Linked DNA regions of Drosophila melanogaster. The protein of the gene in region 3 purifies or fractionates together with the protein of the main gene of each other region. This does not show direct contact. Each region holds a gene or a part of one and is shown on either strand. Other genes may lie near its edges. The genes, in order: eIF4B, CG6726 and Gip.

Region 1 (5,332 bases), on a different chromosome or scaffold from region 3:
GTAGGTGTGGCAGTTTTGGGCGGTTTGTGCGGTTGTTAGAGTGGGCGTGGCAAAATGTGTCGACAAACTTTCGCTTCGTTTATATCTCCAGAAACTGTATGCTGAATCGCAAACTTTCTAGCTTTTATAGTTCCTGAGATCTCGACGTTCTACGGACAGTCGGACATGGCCATATCGACTCGGCTATTGATCCTCATCAAGAATGTACAAATGTACTTTATATGGTCGGAAACGCGTACTTCTGCCTGTTACATACTTTCAACGAACGTACTTTAAGATACTTTATTTTCGAGTATAATTTTCAGGAAATGAATTCATTTTACAATCAACAATATAGAAGCAATCATTAAAGGTAACTTGTTGTAATACATTGGAAGTGGAATTATTCCGGAATTCTGGATGCATTCCCATAAATGCTTCTGTAAGCATTCTCTTTTTATATTTTATTCAACTAGAAGTATATAAATTGATCAGTAGCCGTGTTGGTTTATTTTGCTTATTTATACTATGATAGACGAAAGACAAAAATCTGTATTGGGAATAATTAATACAATTAATTAATATAAATTAATTAATTAATTAATTAAATTAATAATATAAAAGAAGAGAGAATTCAATAGTCGAGTTCTCCGAGTATCAGATACCCGTTACTTATGTACTGGGACTGCGAACGCGAAATGTCATAATTTTTCTGGAATTTCGATATATTATTGTTATATATGTATATTGCTTAAAAGTGAGAGCGTGTCAGTTTTGGGACGTTAGTGGGCGTTAGAGTGGGCTCTATGTCTGTGGAACCTGTATACTTTATCTCAACTCTTTAGCTTCTATAGTTGAGAGATCCCGTTGTTGATACAGTGGACAGACAGACAGACGGACATGGCCAGATCGACTCGGCTATTGATCCTGATTAAGAATATACAGGCTACTAAATTTTGTTTGTAAAATTTGAGGTGGGGTCAGAAATAAATTTTTAATAACATAACTAAGTGGGAGAATGATATTATGGTGATGTGGAATAAACATCAAAAGACTACTGAGTAAACTATTTTTATATTTTTTGATATAAAAAAGATATTTACTTTTCATTTCGGCCAGACAAAAGTGCCGGTTTTACAAATCGAAAAATTGTTATCATTTCAAAAACCTCAGCACCGATTTTTCGATTGCAAATCGAAATCGTAAGATACGTTTTTTCTTACTTTTCAACAAATCTAATACACCATTTTACTCTAGGAGTAACGGGTATATACATATAGTACATTGTAATTTATTGAAAACCATGCACGCGTTTATGTTATGGAAACAACCTTTTTTCTTGTTATGTGGATAAAATATCACTACACAACAATTATTTCTCACAAACTCTTCCGAACTTTCCACTGGGTCGCAAAAAATGGAAAGTGGAATAAGGAACATCGCCAGCTTAGACTGCAAGTTAGATTATGATTAGGCTCATAATATATTGTCAAATGCAGGAGTTTACACCACTCAGGCCCTATTAAAAGAAAATCATTGTAAGCTGTACTACAATTGTTGAAACGAACTAATTGCTCCACATAATCATGGAAATTAATTTTGGCTTTTTGTTAAAGAACTCTATATTCCTACATTCCAACAAAGCTGCCTTGTGCAGCGAGTAGGCTATTATTAACTATATTTGAAAACAAAACTAAGTAATTTATCGTGCTAAGAATTTACATGATACAATTTTATTTTATATTGTATGTATTAAAATTTGTTTCATATTTAGAAAAAAAATATTAACACTAAGGTTCAAATAAACAAATTTTTTTACTATTCATATTTAGAAAACATTTCCGTACTACGGTACATAGTCAATGTTAGCCATAAAAAGCATACAAAAATGAACGAATTTGAAAGAGAGCGACAAGTAACTTTGATTAAAACATATACATACATAGTAAATTGTGTCTTAATATTTGAGCTTAAAATAAAAACAGAAAAGTCATCAAACTTTACTGGAATATTCAATTTTATTCTAAGTATCGGATTTTCACATATGTCAAAATTTCCAACTGTTTCTTTAGGATGTGCTCTTTGGGTTTTGGGTATTACCAGTTGTCAAAATAGTGCAGTTAAGCCCGAAATAAATATCGATAACGATATAGGAAAATTGATTTCTCTATTTTTGTGAATTCGGTAAATTATCAAAATTAAAGATTGGAAACATTGGTTGAAATGGCGTCCGCAGGTTAGAAATTTTTTTTATAATATCTAAGTTTAAAGTTTAAATTTTTTTTATTAATTGTAAAAAGGTAGTAATTTAATTGTGAGATTGTGTGGTTCCGCATGGATTTTTTCTTGACACGTAATGTAAAAGGAACACATGTCCACCTGCATGCATATGTGTAATCTTGCTTAACATAATATTTTATTGTATATATTGGTTGGTCATCATTTCTACTTAAGTATGTATTTCAATTTAATATTTTATTTTATTTTTCAGGAAAGAAGGGCAAAAAGAATAAAGGAACAGTTATCTCCTTGCAATCATTTCTATGTAATTCTGACGCTCCAGTCGGAACAACCCAAGTCTCAAAAAAAATACGAAATTTAGATGGCGATGATAGCGATGATGGAAGTGGTACATTGCCGTTGGTTTATCAGCTTCCAACCGCTCCGAGGGCAAATCGGATATTCGACGATAATTCTATTCCTCATAAAGCCCCATTTATTGCTTATATCAATAATTTACCATTTGACGCAAATGAAGATGACCTCTACGAGTTCTTTGAAGGTATTAATTTAATATCTCTGAGACTACCAAGAGAAGATGGCGAAAATGGTCGTTCCAGAGGCTTTGGCTATGTGGAGTTGGAAAATCGAGAGGATTTAATTCATGTACTTAGCTTGCCAGACCCCTCTATTAAAGGTCGCCGCATTCGCATTGAGCTATCGAATGAAAACGACCAGCAAAGCCGCCAAAAAAGTAATAGGCGGTTTGATGGTTTTGGAAATAATGGAGATAATAGGGATTCCGGAAATTGGAGGCGAGACAGCCAAAACAACGGCAGTAACTTTGGTTATTCTTCCAATTTTGAAAGAAGCTTTAATAGAGAGAGAAAATCTTTACCAGATAGAGATGATGTGAACACTCCTGGATCTTGGCGCACGAGCGCAAGGCCGCAATCTATTGATACTTCCCCTACACGCAGAGAAGTTGAACAAGTATCTGAAAAATATCGCGAAGGTCGAGTCAAAATAGCAGACAGATATTCCCGAGAAGAGACATCCAAAGTTGAAGAAGAAAGGCCAAAATTGAATTTAAAACCAAGAACTTTACCATTGCCAGATGTAAAGACAATTGAATTCGAAAAATGTGACGTTGATGAATTTAATTTGGATAAACAAGGCGGAACTTCATCATTAAACGTGTTTGGGTCTGCAAAACCGGTAGATACAGCAGCAAGGGAGTTGGAGATTGAGCAAAGATTGGCTCTCGCTCGAAAACAGGATAAGGGGCGCAGAGAACAGGGTTTAAATGAAAAACTTGCCGAGCTCCAGGTGGATAAAAATGATAATGAAAGTCTAAGTGCAACAGTTAGTTGGCGCACGAATCAGGACTACAAGGAAAGCGACAAAATTAATAAGTGTCCAGGTAACTAAAATCTAAATATTTGTCTGAATGTAGAAGTGAATTTTATCTGACTTGAGTTTTTAATCTAATCAAAAAGCATAATAATAATAAATAATCAGAGGAGGAGGAAATATACAACGCCACATAAAATACAACAAATTAACATTTTTCGAAAATGTGGGAGAAGCCGTAATTTGGCAAATAATCAATAACGTATCTCCTATATATTTGGTTTTCACCGTGCACCTACTTTTTGGGTGCCGACAAAAAATGCGATGTCTGTAAATTATACCATTGCTTAAAACCCAAACCACAAAAAATACTGTATGCGGGCTTACTTATGCGAGAACACGATTTTCAAGCTGGAAATATTTTATTTAAAAAAAAATCATAATTAACTTGTATTATTCTATTAATAAAATTCGAGTTGCACAAAATTATTCAAATAGTTGGTATTTTCATATATAATACTTAATATTAGTAATGTGCACTTCAGATACATATGTATTGTATATAATGTGTGTTCTCCATATTAAATTTTTGATATGCTACAGGCAGCATAATTTCCTTCTTTCAGAACTCAATATAAACTATTGTGGGCATCGGAAAATAATTATTTATTTTTATAATTTAGGTAAATGTAAATGTAGTTCCAAAGTTTTTATTTATATTTTTTTGAAGATGAAATCTGATAGGTGACGTCCCCCATTCTCCATACATTGCGTAAACCGATTTCTGGCGTTTGTCGTGACTCTTGTTAGCATAGCAGGTGTTATGATGATGATGGTTTTCAACTCTTTTAGCGTTCTTGGACGGTTCACATAAACACGTTGTGAAATTCCTGCACTATCGCCATCTCATACCGATGGAATTTAAGGTCATCATAAAGAATTCTTCTCCCAGAACGATCGGATAGTCATAGTCAAAGGTCAGACGCGTGTTTGAGCGCAGAACGCTGTGGAGATCGCAATATTGGCGCTCTCACTGCTTCAATGTTCTCAGGTGATCTAACGGGTCGAGGGACTCCAGTTCTTCGTTTTGTCGCGCTTGCAGTTTGCCTGAATGTAGTGACCCATGTAACAATTGATTTGCGTTCAGGGACAGGAGCCAACAGTGCTAAATTAAAGCGATACCGAAATGCACGCTGTGTTTTAATAACCGAACATCCGCTTGAAAAGTAGGCCACAACGGCAAAGGCGCGCTCCTCACTATTCCAACGCAAGATGGCGACTGAACCGTGTCGGGACAAAGCTTTGCAGTAGCCCCTCTTGAACGGGGCCATTAGTGCTCCGCTATGACATCAACTAACTGAATGGCGCGCATTTAAAAAAGGAAGTTTTGCTGCCGCACCCTGTATATACAATATGTATGCACGGGTGCGGTCTAAATAATACTAAAGCCGGTCAAGCAAAAAGTTATTTCTCATTATTTTCTCCATTCCTTTACTTAATTAATTAAATTTTTTCACTTTAGTAACTTAGCAGTTATTGACCAAAAGGTGAGATCGTTGCTTAGGAGGACAATCTAGGATTCCGACTTTCGGGTCTGTTTCTTCGAAAAATGTAAGTTTATTAGTAATTAGAAGACGACTCGATCCAGATCCTCATTTCAAGAGGCCAAAAAAAAAAAGCGGCATTACTCAGAAAAAAACATGAAGCCTAATGATTTAGGTTTGCGTGAGATCGCTTGAATTGGTGCAGAGGAGTAAAATCTTGGGGTCGGTTAAGGCGA
Region 2 (6,653 bases), on a different chromosome or scaffold from region 3:
CCTCCTCATCGATATCGGCAGCGAAGGGATCGTGGGTCCACTTGTCACGGAACACCGGCACCACATCCATGTGCGAGTTGAGAATGACGGAGGGCAGCTCCGGTTCGGTGCCCAACCACTTGATGATCACCACAGGCTTCTTCTCCACTGGATATATAACATCCACGGGAAGATCCAGGCTGTGAGCCTGCCTTTTCAGGAACTCCACACATTCGGCTAGAAGTTAAGATGTACATGAGTAGTGCTCTTCTGTGAATTCCTTGGGGAATCCTTACTGTAATCCACATTTGGCTGCACCGTAGCTATGCGCAAATATTCGCGGAATATTTTGATTTCCTCGTTGTCCTCCCACTTTTCGGTGCTCATTTTGTGGATATGTTTTCGCTGCCAGTCACCAAACTCGAATGTGCCGCAGTTGGCAAAAAATGAACTTATACAGAAATTTTTGTGTGTTGGGTGATTTTGGTTTTATGGCCTTGGCTTCGTATTATTATCAAATAATGAGTTCGTTATCAAACTCGGTTGTTATAGAAATGATAACAGCACATATTCTTGTACAAAATTCTACCAAAACAAATGTCTAATAGCAAACGGTAGCCAATTCGATAAAGTTCACATAACACCAATAAAACTCAACCACCGTCGTTTATGGTCTGCGAAAAAATGGGTTATTATAATTTGTATTTGGTTTGATAAGAAAATAGAATACATATTAATGTAATTATTGATAATTATGATGTATATATAAAATACAACCCCTTTACGTGAAGGTTACGTTAGTTTTTGAGAACGATATCAATAGTTGTGACGATTTATTGGATATTGAATGAGGGCAAAGTCCATGACAAAAACTCTCTTCTGAAACTCGTGTTATCAGTGTGTGATTTTCATTTGTTTAGAAACAGATATGATTTGTAGTAGTCACACCATTTAAACATTTAATTTTGGTCCTACACTCATCGAGCCAAAAACATTACTCATAAGCGATAAGACCAATTGTAGCATATTGATTTCCATTTATGAGTGGAACTTCGCTTGAACATTTTATGAATCAGCAATAGAGGGGATGAGCTTCCTGTACACCTGAATTCCGTGCAGATATGTGTCGGCCCGCAAATATTCATCATGATTGTGCAGCAGCACCGGGGTGTTGTTGATGGGTGAAAATCCCAGAGCGGGAATTCCCACTTGCCGGACGTAGAAGCTATCGGTGGCGCCGGGGAAAACTCGTGTATGGGTGATCAAACCTCTGGAAAATTTCAACAAATTATGAAGTGAAAACTACACAATCTTTGTTTACCTACAGTTCATCTAGTCCCTTTTTGAAGCCCAGCCAGTAGGGATTGGAGTCGTCTATCTTGGTCACCACCGAGGGGCACTTCAGCGTGAAATCCAGTTCCACTCCACCACCGACTTCGTTGCACCACTCGCGAATCTGATTCTCCATTGCATCGGCATTCTGGTTGATGGCTATGCGAATATCAAAAGTGGCTTCTAGTACGGGGGGAACCACATTGCTTTGGACGCCACCGTTGAGTTGGGTCAGGTTCAAAGTGGTCACATCACCGGACTGCAAGGAGGAGTCCTCGGCCAGTAGCTTGACCTGGGTTTCTCGGAACTTCATCAGCTTATCCATCACAAAGTGAAACTTTTCGCCAGCCGTGCTTTTGTGCAGCAGCGATCCATGACCTGAAGTGCCACTGAATTTAAATCGAAGTTCTGCAGGGGTATAAAATGAATCAGAATATATTGCTACTGATGCAAATGGAAGACTTACGCCACAATGTACGCTCGGCGTAAAATACAGGATAAGTGTCATCTTCACTGGCGATGCCCTCGTCCAGGCTAAAGCCCACATTCATGGCTTTGAAGTAATCACCCTTGACGAATTCAGCCATGCCCATGTGTCCGCCAGTTTCCTCGTCGGGCACAAAAGTCAAATATACGGTCCTTTTTGGCTGATAGCCACTGGCTTTGAGTGCACGGACCGCAGCCATGTACTGACATCCCACGGACTTCATGTCCTGGGCACCGCGTGCATAAATCCGGCCTTGGGCGTCTATGTGGGCACCAAACGGCTCATGGGTCCACTTTTCGGGAAACACGGGCACCACGTCCATGTGTGAGTTCAATATAATGGATTTCAGCTCGGGATGCTTGCCCAGCCACTTCATAATCACCACCGGTTTCGAAGGCACAACAGGATACACCACGTCCACGCGGAGATTAAGTTTGTTAGCCTGGCGTTTTAGGAACTCCACGCATGCAGCTGCAAGGGAAATAGGGATAACAAAATCCAAGGAGCGGAAAAACAAATCCTTACTGTAGTCCACGTCTGGATGCACCGAGGGAATGCGCAAATACTCCTGGAAAATGATTATTTCCTCGTCGTTCTTCCATTGTTCCGTGCAAGTGCACATTTTGAGTTGAATGCCCCGTGGTTCTAAAGGAACTGACTTGTAATCCACCGTGCTGTTTGGTTTGAAGTCTGAGTGTGGATTGACTTAATGGCATTATCAGTTGTTGACTTTAAGCTACTTGATTAGAAGAGCCCACAATTTGCGGATTTTCATCTTTGCGCTAAGAGCTTAATGTTATCTAGCAAAGCCATAATAGTAAACCATAAACTTATTCATTTTCATTTAAATTTCCTTTTTTTGCTCACCATTAATGGTATGGACTATGGACTGGCTTATTTATTCATACATTGTTTATTTAAATGGGTTTTTATAAGCCTGCTTGTTTAAAGTTATTACAATAAACATCGACAAGTAAGCATTAAATGCATTATTTCATAATTGAATTGAGTTCGCTAAGCATCAGCTACGGCAGGAATGAGCTTCTTGTAAACCTCAATGCCGTGCAAATAGGTATCGGCTTTCAGGAATTCATCGTGGTCGTGCAGCAGGATGGGGGTGTTGTTAATGGGCGAGAATCCTAGAGCTGGAATGCCTGCGTAGCGAATATAACGACTGTCCGTGGCGCCGGGGAAAACACGAACCCGTGTCTTGAGGCCACTGAAAGAAACAAGGAGAAAGGATATCAGAGCCATGCCTTTTGTCAGAGCTTCTCATCCTTACAGGTCATCGAGTGCTTTCTTAAAGGCCAGCCAGTAGGCATTCGACGAGTCAATCTTTGTTGGCTCCACAAAGGGGTTTTTCATCTCAAACTCCAGTTCAATGCCGCCGCCAGCCTCCTCGCACCAGTCGCGAATCTGCTTCTCAAAGGCAGGGATATCCACGGTGACGGCAATGCGGATATCAAATACAGCTTCCAGCAATGGGGGAACCACGTTGCTCTGGACTCCGCCCCTCAGTTGGGTGAGATTCACAGTGGTCACATCACCAATTTCGAGGGATGAGTCGTCAGCTAGTTTTTGCACTTGCGATTTGCGGAACTCCATCATTTTGCCTACCACATAGTTCAGCTTCTCGCCAGCAGTATTCGGGAGCAACAGTGATCCGTGACCAGCAGTTCCGCTGATCTTGAAACGAAGATCTGCAGGAAAACATGGCTAGCTTAAATTGTTTGTATGAGTCAATCCTACTCACGCCAAAGAGTCCGTTCAGCGTAGTACAGAGCGTAGGTTTCATCCGCACTAGAGATTCCCTCGTCGAAACTGAATCCCACATTGAGCTTCTTGAAGTAGTCGCTCTTTACCAGCTCCCGCATGCCCAGGTGGCCGCCAACCTCCTCGTCCGGAACATAAGTGAGATAGATCGTCCTCTTGGGTTGATAGCCACTGGCCTTGAGGGCACGCACAGCTCCCAGATATTGGGTGCCCACGCACTTCATGTCCTGCGATCCGCGCGCAAAGATGCGACCCTCTGCATCTAGATCCGCGCTGAATGGACCGTGTGTCCACTTCTCCTCAAAAACGGGCACTACATCCGTGTGCGAATTGAGAATGATGGAGGGCAGTTCCGGCTGGGAACCCTGCCATTTTAGCACCACCACGGGATTCTGCTCGTTCACCGGATAGATAACCTCCACGGGCAGGTCCAAGCTGGCAGCCTGGCGTTTCAAGAATTCCGTGCAAACGGCTATAAATAGCAGACACATTTTATGGCAAGGTCATAAAGATCAGGGTACTCTTATCGCAGCCTCATAAAGATATACATGCCCATTGGAACTCACTGTAATCCACATTTGGATGCACCGTTGGTATGCGAAGATATTCGCGAAAGATCTTAATCTCCTCGTTGTTCTCCCACTTGGCTGTACTCATTTTGCACTCTATAAAATGTAAATAATTAGCCGGCTGATAACAAATCAATTAAATTGTTTGCTGAAATCAGCTGATCGACACTTCACCACAGCGGAGAGCAGACACACAACACACCTTTCGCAACACTGGCTCGACGACGACTGTGCGATCGTGGAGAGAAGCGCGCGTTTAAATATCAGCGATAAGCGAGCGAAAGAGAGGGCATGATAATAAATCCGAGAAGGAACTAAACCTAATTTCTTATCATACGGTGCTGCCTATAAACTGTTTTATCTTACGCATTTGTTTACTTTTTAGATGGCTAATCTACTTTTCAGTACAAATGACTTGCAGTTAACAATTGCTTCCGTCATTAATAATATTCGTGTCTTCCCATTTCTATATGAGAAACTAATTTGATGAATTTAATATCCAGCACTCAAAAATTCAATTGATTACAAAAGAGACATCCCCTAATAGTAATTTCTATCTTGTACTGCATTATTTATAAATTAAACTGAATTTTGCAGCTCATAGCACAAGGAGTGGAACTCTATTTCTGTACCATCCCAATTGGTAGGGATTCCACTCCATGTATTGGTGAACATTCTTCCATCACTTTCCGGTACATATGAACCCACTTTAAGGCTCATTTACTTGGGATTCCCCCTGGCTGATGGATTTATTTGCCTTAAATGGAGGCGAAGGTGCTTCGCATTGCTTTGGGGGTAACAGGACTGCAGGATTGCTGGATTGATGGTGACCCCATTTGGCCCGCAGCCAAGATTTCCGATTACTGATGAATCGCATGCAATCGCATTCCAATTCCAGTTGATTTGTTAATCAAGATGCACTGCACACGTTCGCACCACACGCCCAGTGGGCTTCCGGGTAAACAAGTTGCCCCTCCTCGGGCCTTTCAGCCACTCGAATCCAATTCAAATTTCGCATATTAATAGTGTTCCTGCTGCACTTGCCGACTTTGCTGCACTGCGTCTGTTGTCCCAGTAGTGTGTCAAAAGTTAGTTTCGCATTTAGATTTCACGCTTGTTCCCATACAGAAAAAAAGGTGGTTGGGCCAAAAAAAATACACAAAACCAAAGCCCTCTGATTTGTGTCGCATACACACCCTGCTAGGCCAAAGTTGATATTGTTTTAGTGTGTGTACTCACAAAAAGTCATTAAAAGTTCATTAACAATGTTGCTGGGATTTTAATGGCGCACCAGCAGCAATAGCAGCAACTACAGGCTACACATGTCTGCATTTTAAATAACATCCAAGCCCCACATTCGTACAAACTCGTACTCTCCCCATTTACAGCGTCACATAAGTCAAATAAATACACAAGTTTCCTGCGCACAAACACTCGTTCAGCTGCACAATGGGCCAAAATGGCAAGTTTTTGGCATAATTCGAATGTAATGTCCCTAGAATAGAGTCTATAAGTCTGTACAGAGGCTAAAGTAGTTCATTCTTAGTCGAGTAAAACACGAATCTACTTATCTGATGCCAAATTATTCACTTTTCGCCCATGGTGGTGACTTGGGGGCGCGCCTGTTTGTTGTTTGCTGATGTTGCTGCTGAGCTGACATGTTGTCGCTGGGCAAATAAACTAAATGAAAATTTTGTATATTGTAACAATTATCCGGGCAACGCCGGAAACTGTTTGCGTTGAGCACCCAAAACCTGCAGAACTGCAGAGATGGAACCCCGAGGATATCGCCTAATCCGTTATGGGCGCATTACCTGGCCAAAAAAAGCAAAAAAAAAAAATAAAAGCGAGAGAACTGATATAATCCTCCTCTGCCATTTACCATTTACCATATCCCTCGGCCCAGAGCGTACATTTCCTTTTGTTCGAGCTTTTTTCAGAGCCCATGGCAAAGTTTCGGTAGTATGGAAATATGGAATGGGAATTGGGTTGCTGGCGGACTGACAGCTCAAGGACAATCCGGAGGGCATGCGTTTGCATCGCCTGGAGAGCTTCAATTTGTGTGTGTGTGTGTCAGGCATTAGGTGGAACGAAAAAAAGGAGCTCAGCTCTTGGCAAGCACTTTAGCAAACTGCACTCACAGTCGACATCGATATACAAAAAGTGCTGGCCAACAGTGCGTATGCGTGCTGCTTACTGCCTGCACAAGGCGAAAGCACTCGAAACGGTTTTTATTCACAACTTGTGCGAATGTCATCAAAATTGTGGACCACTCGGTCTGCAAATTGGATGCACATTCATAGAGCTGCTGAAAATGCAAATGCAAGTGCGTCGGTAAAAATTGTGTGCTTACTTAATTAGCAGTCATAATTTAATTGATCGACATTTATCGCTTCGTTAAGGATAATTATTACACGTACTCGCATTAAAAATCCCCCGGCTTTAATTTTGATTGTTAAGCCTAGCATTCGCAATTCCCATAATTCAATGGCCTCGAATGCTGTTTGCTTTGC
Region 3 (3,894 bases):
ATGGCTACTTCGAGGGCCCACAATGTGACCGTCACGCATAATTCGTTGGTTCAGTGGTCCCGTGGCGATATTCTCGATTGGTTCAACGAGACGCTCCAATGCAACCTAATCAATATCGAACAGTTGTGCACCGGTGCAGCCTATTGTAATTTGATGCATATGCTTTATCCCAAACTGATCAATTTGAAGCGAGTTAAGTTTTTTTCGAATCAAGAATACGAGTACGTTAACAATTTCAAGGAACTTCAAAAAGCCTTCAATAAGGTAAATGTAAGCCTACCAGCTGAGGTCAATGATTTGATCAAGGGCCACAGGGTAGAAAATTTTAAATTTGCCGTGTGGTTCCGACACTTTTTCAATGTCAATCACACTAAGGATAAATGCGCTGGCTACGATGCACTGGTAGCTCGTGACCATCAGAACATCGGTATCGGATCCTCAAAATTGACAACCAAAGATCGTTTTCGCTTGGTGAAGGTGAAGACGACAGCTATACGAGGTAAAGTTGCGACTTGCCAGGCGACGATTAACAGTAGCCTTTGCACGGGCAAAGCTAACCAGGACGAGGATAGCCAGCACACGGATAAAAAGGACGAGGATAGCCGTGACCAGGGTAGCCAGTACGAGGATAGCCCCGGCATGGATAGCCAGTACAAGGATTGCCGTGACCAGGATAGCCAGTACGAGGATAGCCACGGCAAGGATAGCCAGTACAAGGATTGCCGTGACCAGGGTAGCCAGTACGAGGATAGCCACGGCATGGATAGCCAGTACGAGGATAGCCGTGACCAGGATAGCCAGTACGAGGATAGCCCCGGCATGGATAGCCAGTACAAGGATAGCCGTGACCAGGATAGCCAGTACGAGGATAGCCACGGCAAGGATAGCCAGTACAAGGATTGCCGTGACCAGGGTAGCCAGTACGAGGATAGCCACGGCATGGATAGCCAGTACAAGGATAGCCGTGACCAGGGTTGCCAGTACGAGGATAGCCACGGCAAGGATAGCGAAGACGAGGATAGCCAGTACGAGGATAGCCAGGACATTCACATGGTGCTCCAAAGAGACCACTGATATCGTGACGTCGTCGGTTTTTAATTCCTGGCCAAGCTCATTGTCAACTCAAAACTCTCAAAAGAACTAGTCAAAGCACACGGTAGCCTCGAAGGAGTAAGGATGTGAAGACGAAGGCTGCCTGCTTTTCAAAATTAACAGTTTTGAACTCTTTAAACCAAATTCACATTTTCTCCACTGCTTTTGTATTTCATGGTTTGGAAATTGAAAATTAAAATGTTGACCCAAAACATGCGTCTTATTTAATGGTTCCCTTAATGTCCGCTAGGTGGAGTCAATGCTTTTCACACAGGTTTTATATTAAATAATAATACTAAATAATAATAATAATATTAAAAATATTAACGCTACGAGTGTTAGAACTAGTATTTTATTTAACTAACGACGAACTAAATTAAATAATATACTAATTCTAAATAATGGTTCTGATGCCAGCTAAATAACTTAAAACCTACGTATGTATGTACATATATCACGCAAAGCTTTGGTCGGAAAAGCTCCTGCTCCATATGACATTGGCAGTATCAAAAGTCGGTAGATATAATATAAAAAACGGGTAATCGCATCGTTCCCCCCCAGTTGTTTGCCAAGCGTGAACGCAGGCGGAGATTAGTGAACGGAAGATGGCACTCAAGTTTGCAGCGAATCTGAACTTTTTGTTCACGGAAAGAGCGACGTCGATCGCGGAGCGAATTCGTCTGGCCCACCAGAACGGATTCCGTGCGGTAGAGATCCCCTATCCCGAAGGCGAGACGAGCGACGTGGTGTCCGCCGTAAAGGAGACGGGTGTGGTGGTCAGTCTGGTGAATCTGGCCTTCGACAAGAGCGACGATCAGCTGCGTTTCGGCTCCACCAGTGTGCCCGGCTCGGAAAAGCTGTTCCGTAGCCAATTGGATGCCACCATTGATTTCGCCCGACAGGTTAACTGTGGCAAGATTCATCTAACCGCTGGACTCTTCAAGGGCGGCCAGGAGAGTGACTACACGAAGACGTATACCGCCAATCTAAAGATCGCCGCCGATAGCCTTAGAGCCAGTAAAATGATCGGCGTGATAGAGCCAATTAACAAGTACGCCGTGCCTGGCTACTACATGAATTCATACTCCAAAGCCGCTGGAATTCTGGCCGATGTGGCTGCGGACAACATTCAATTGCTGGCCGATCTGTATCACCTGCAGCATTTGCACGGCAACGTTTCCAAGACGCTCGAGGAGTACAAGGCGCTGATTGGACACTTTCAGATCGCCCAGGTGCCGCATCGCCACGAGCCGGATGTTTCCGGTGAGCTGGACTACGGATTTGTGTTCAAGGCTCTCCAGGAATTCGGCTATGATGGATGGATCGGTTGCGAGTACAAGCCGAAGACGACCACTGTCGAGGGTTTGGGTTGGGTCTCCAAATTGGGCTACACGCTATAATTATCACATCACATATAGTTTGGCATAAGGAACTGCTCTGCATTTATACACATGTATTTACACTGCTTACAAACATAAAGATGGTTTAACCAAAATACTTAATTCTATTACATATTTCTCTCGTTTTCGAGGCATTTTCATGGCTTTTTAAAGCTTCAATTGGTTGGTTCAATTCAATCAATTGGTTGGTTTTGGTTTAAAATGGTCGTTTTATAAAATCGATTACAATATAAAATCCTTTTTTTTCCCTTTTTTTTTGGAATTGTCATGCGTCTGTCAAAAGGTCATGGAATTGACCTACAGCAAGTGTGGAATAAAACAGTAGCTACGATTAGATAAGATTAGATAACAGGCAGATTCACGTATCTCATAAGGCGTCACTCTCGCTCCGAATCACCCGCTTGGCATATTCGGCTATGTGGAGCACCCCGTGCTCCGGTGAGGCGATGTGCAGGTTGCCTCCATTGCAGAATTTCGTGTTTATGTACGGATTGTGCAGCTCGGCCACCAACGTGGAGCAGGCCGTCGAGGAGTCACCTGTGGACTGCAGCATTTTCTAAAACGAATGAAGTTTATAATATGTGAAATTAGAAAGAAGAAAATGTTAAGATCAAAGGAAGAACTACAACTACTTTAATGTCAAGTTACTTTCCATTGGTTTAATGATCACTAAATTGAATTATCTTTATAATTGCACTTAACACAATTATAAACACTTACTAAGCTGATAATGCATGCCCTCATTAAATTGATAATGTTCTTATTATTTAATATAAAGGGCATTAGTGGAAAACTAGAACACACAGTTGGCCAAACCACAGAATATAAATATATTGTTTCACCACTTAATATCAACATTTGTGGCTAGGAGGGCACTGTCAATCTATGTACTTACCATCCAGAATTCATTACCCGGCAGGGCGTTTCCATCCCAAGCGTAAGAGACTACCAGCAGCATTCCGGCGTGCTCAGGATCACTCAATTTTCGTGCTGGATTGCGCTTGGAAATGAGCACCCTGATGCCATCCTTTGGATGCCCGGGAATCTCTATCAGCGATCCGTTGCTTAGACCGCCGCAATGTGTGATCGAAAACCAGGAGAAGTGCACGAGGCCAACGTTATTGAGCCTGTTGCCCAGCGTGCGCATACGCTGCTCGAAGGTCTCCATGAAGATGCGCTCCTGCTGTTCTGCTGCCTTCCACACGCCCAAGCCGAAGCCCACCACATGGATGTACGCCAGCTTTTTCACGCGTTTTGCCCTTGCCTCTGCCTCCAGCAGCAGCATGTCGAAGCTGATGGCGTAACGCCGCTTCATCACCAGATTGTCGAACACGTCCATCTTGTTTTTCGATGGTCCGAAACGCTGATTGTCAATGACTGCCTGGCCGTGGATGAGATCCCG

What was found.
Region 1: the proteins of Gip (region 3) and eIF4B purify together in Drosophila melanogaster (affinity purification with mass spectrometry, with the first as the bait; one large-scale study listed by BioGRID). This does not show direct contact.
Region 2: the proteins of Gip (region 3) and CG6726 purify together in Drosophila melanogaster (affinity purification with mass spectrometry, with the first as the bait; one large-scale study listed by BioGRID). This does not show direct contact.

Annotation. Positions count from the first base shown.
Region 1 is NT_037436.4:27,855,074-27,860,405, reverse strand, and holds the start of eIF4B (eukaryotic translation initiation factor 4B), read left to right. Parts: upstream 1-2,134; 5' UTR 2,135-2,202; coding exon 2,203-2,215; intron 2,216-2,470; coding exon 2,471-3,622; coding exon of another isoform or gene 3,623-3,630; exon of another isoform or gene 3,631-3,698; coding exon of another isoform or gene 3,699-3,703; exon of another isoform or gene 3,704-4,040; intron 4,041-5,332.
Region 2 is NT_033777.3:23,089,446-23,096,098, reverse strand, and holds CG6726 (uncharacterized protein), read right to left. Parts: upstream 4,376-6,653; 5' UTR 4,343-4,375; intron 4,323-4,342; exon of another isoform or gene 4,237-4,322; 5' UTR 4,229-4,236; coding exon 4,138-4,228; intron 4,044-4,137; coding exon 3,552-4,043; intron 3,499-3,551; coding exon 3,081-3,498; intron 3,018-3,080; coding exon 2,813-3,017; 3' UTR 2,666-2,812; exon of another isoform or gene 2,640-2,665; intron 2,602-2,639; exon of another isoform or gene 2,599-2,601; 3' UTR 2,421-2,598; coding exon of another isoform or gene 2,324-2,420; intron 2,270-2,323; coding exon of another isoform or gene 1,778-2,269; intron 1,720-1,777; coding exon of another isoform or gene 1,305-1,719; intron 1,250-1,304; coding exon of another isoform or gene 1,045-1,249; 3' UTR 915-1,044; downstream 1-914. Other genes in the region: CG17109 (uncharacterized protein), read right to left, coding at 1-216, 276-366; CG17110 (uncharacterized protein), read right to left, coding at 1,045-1,249, 1,305-1,719, 1,778-2,269, 2,324-2,420.
Region 3 is NC_004354.4:10,327,566-10,331,459, reverse strand, and holds Gip (GIP-like), read left to right. Parts: upstream 1-1,587; 5' UTR 1,588-1,697; coding exon 1,698-2,492; 3' UTR 2,493-2,583; downstream 2,584-3,894. Other genes in the region: CG15306 (uncharacterized protein), read left to right, coding at 1-1,074; CG2909 (uncharacterized protein), read right to left, coding at 2,860-3,048, 3,388-3,894. UniProt on the Drosophila melanogaster protein: Catalyzes the reversible isomerization between hydroxypyruvate and 2-hydroxy-3-oxopropanoate (also termed tartronate semialdehyde).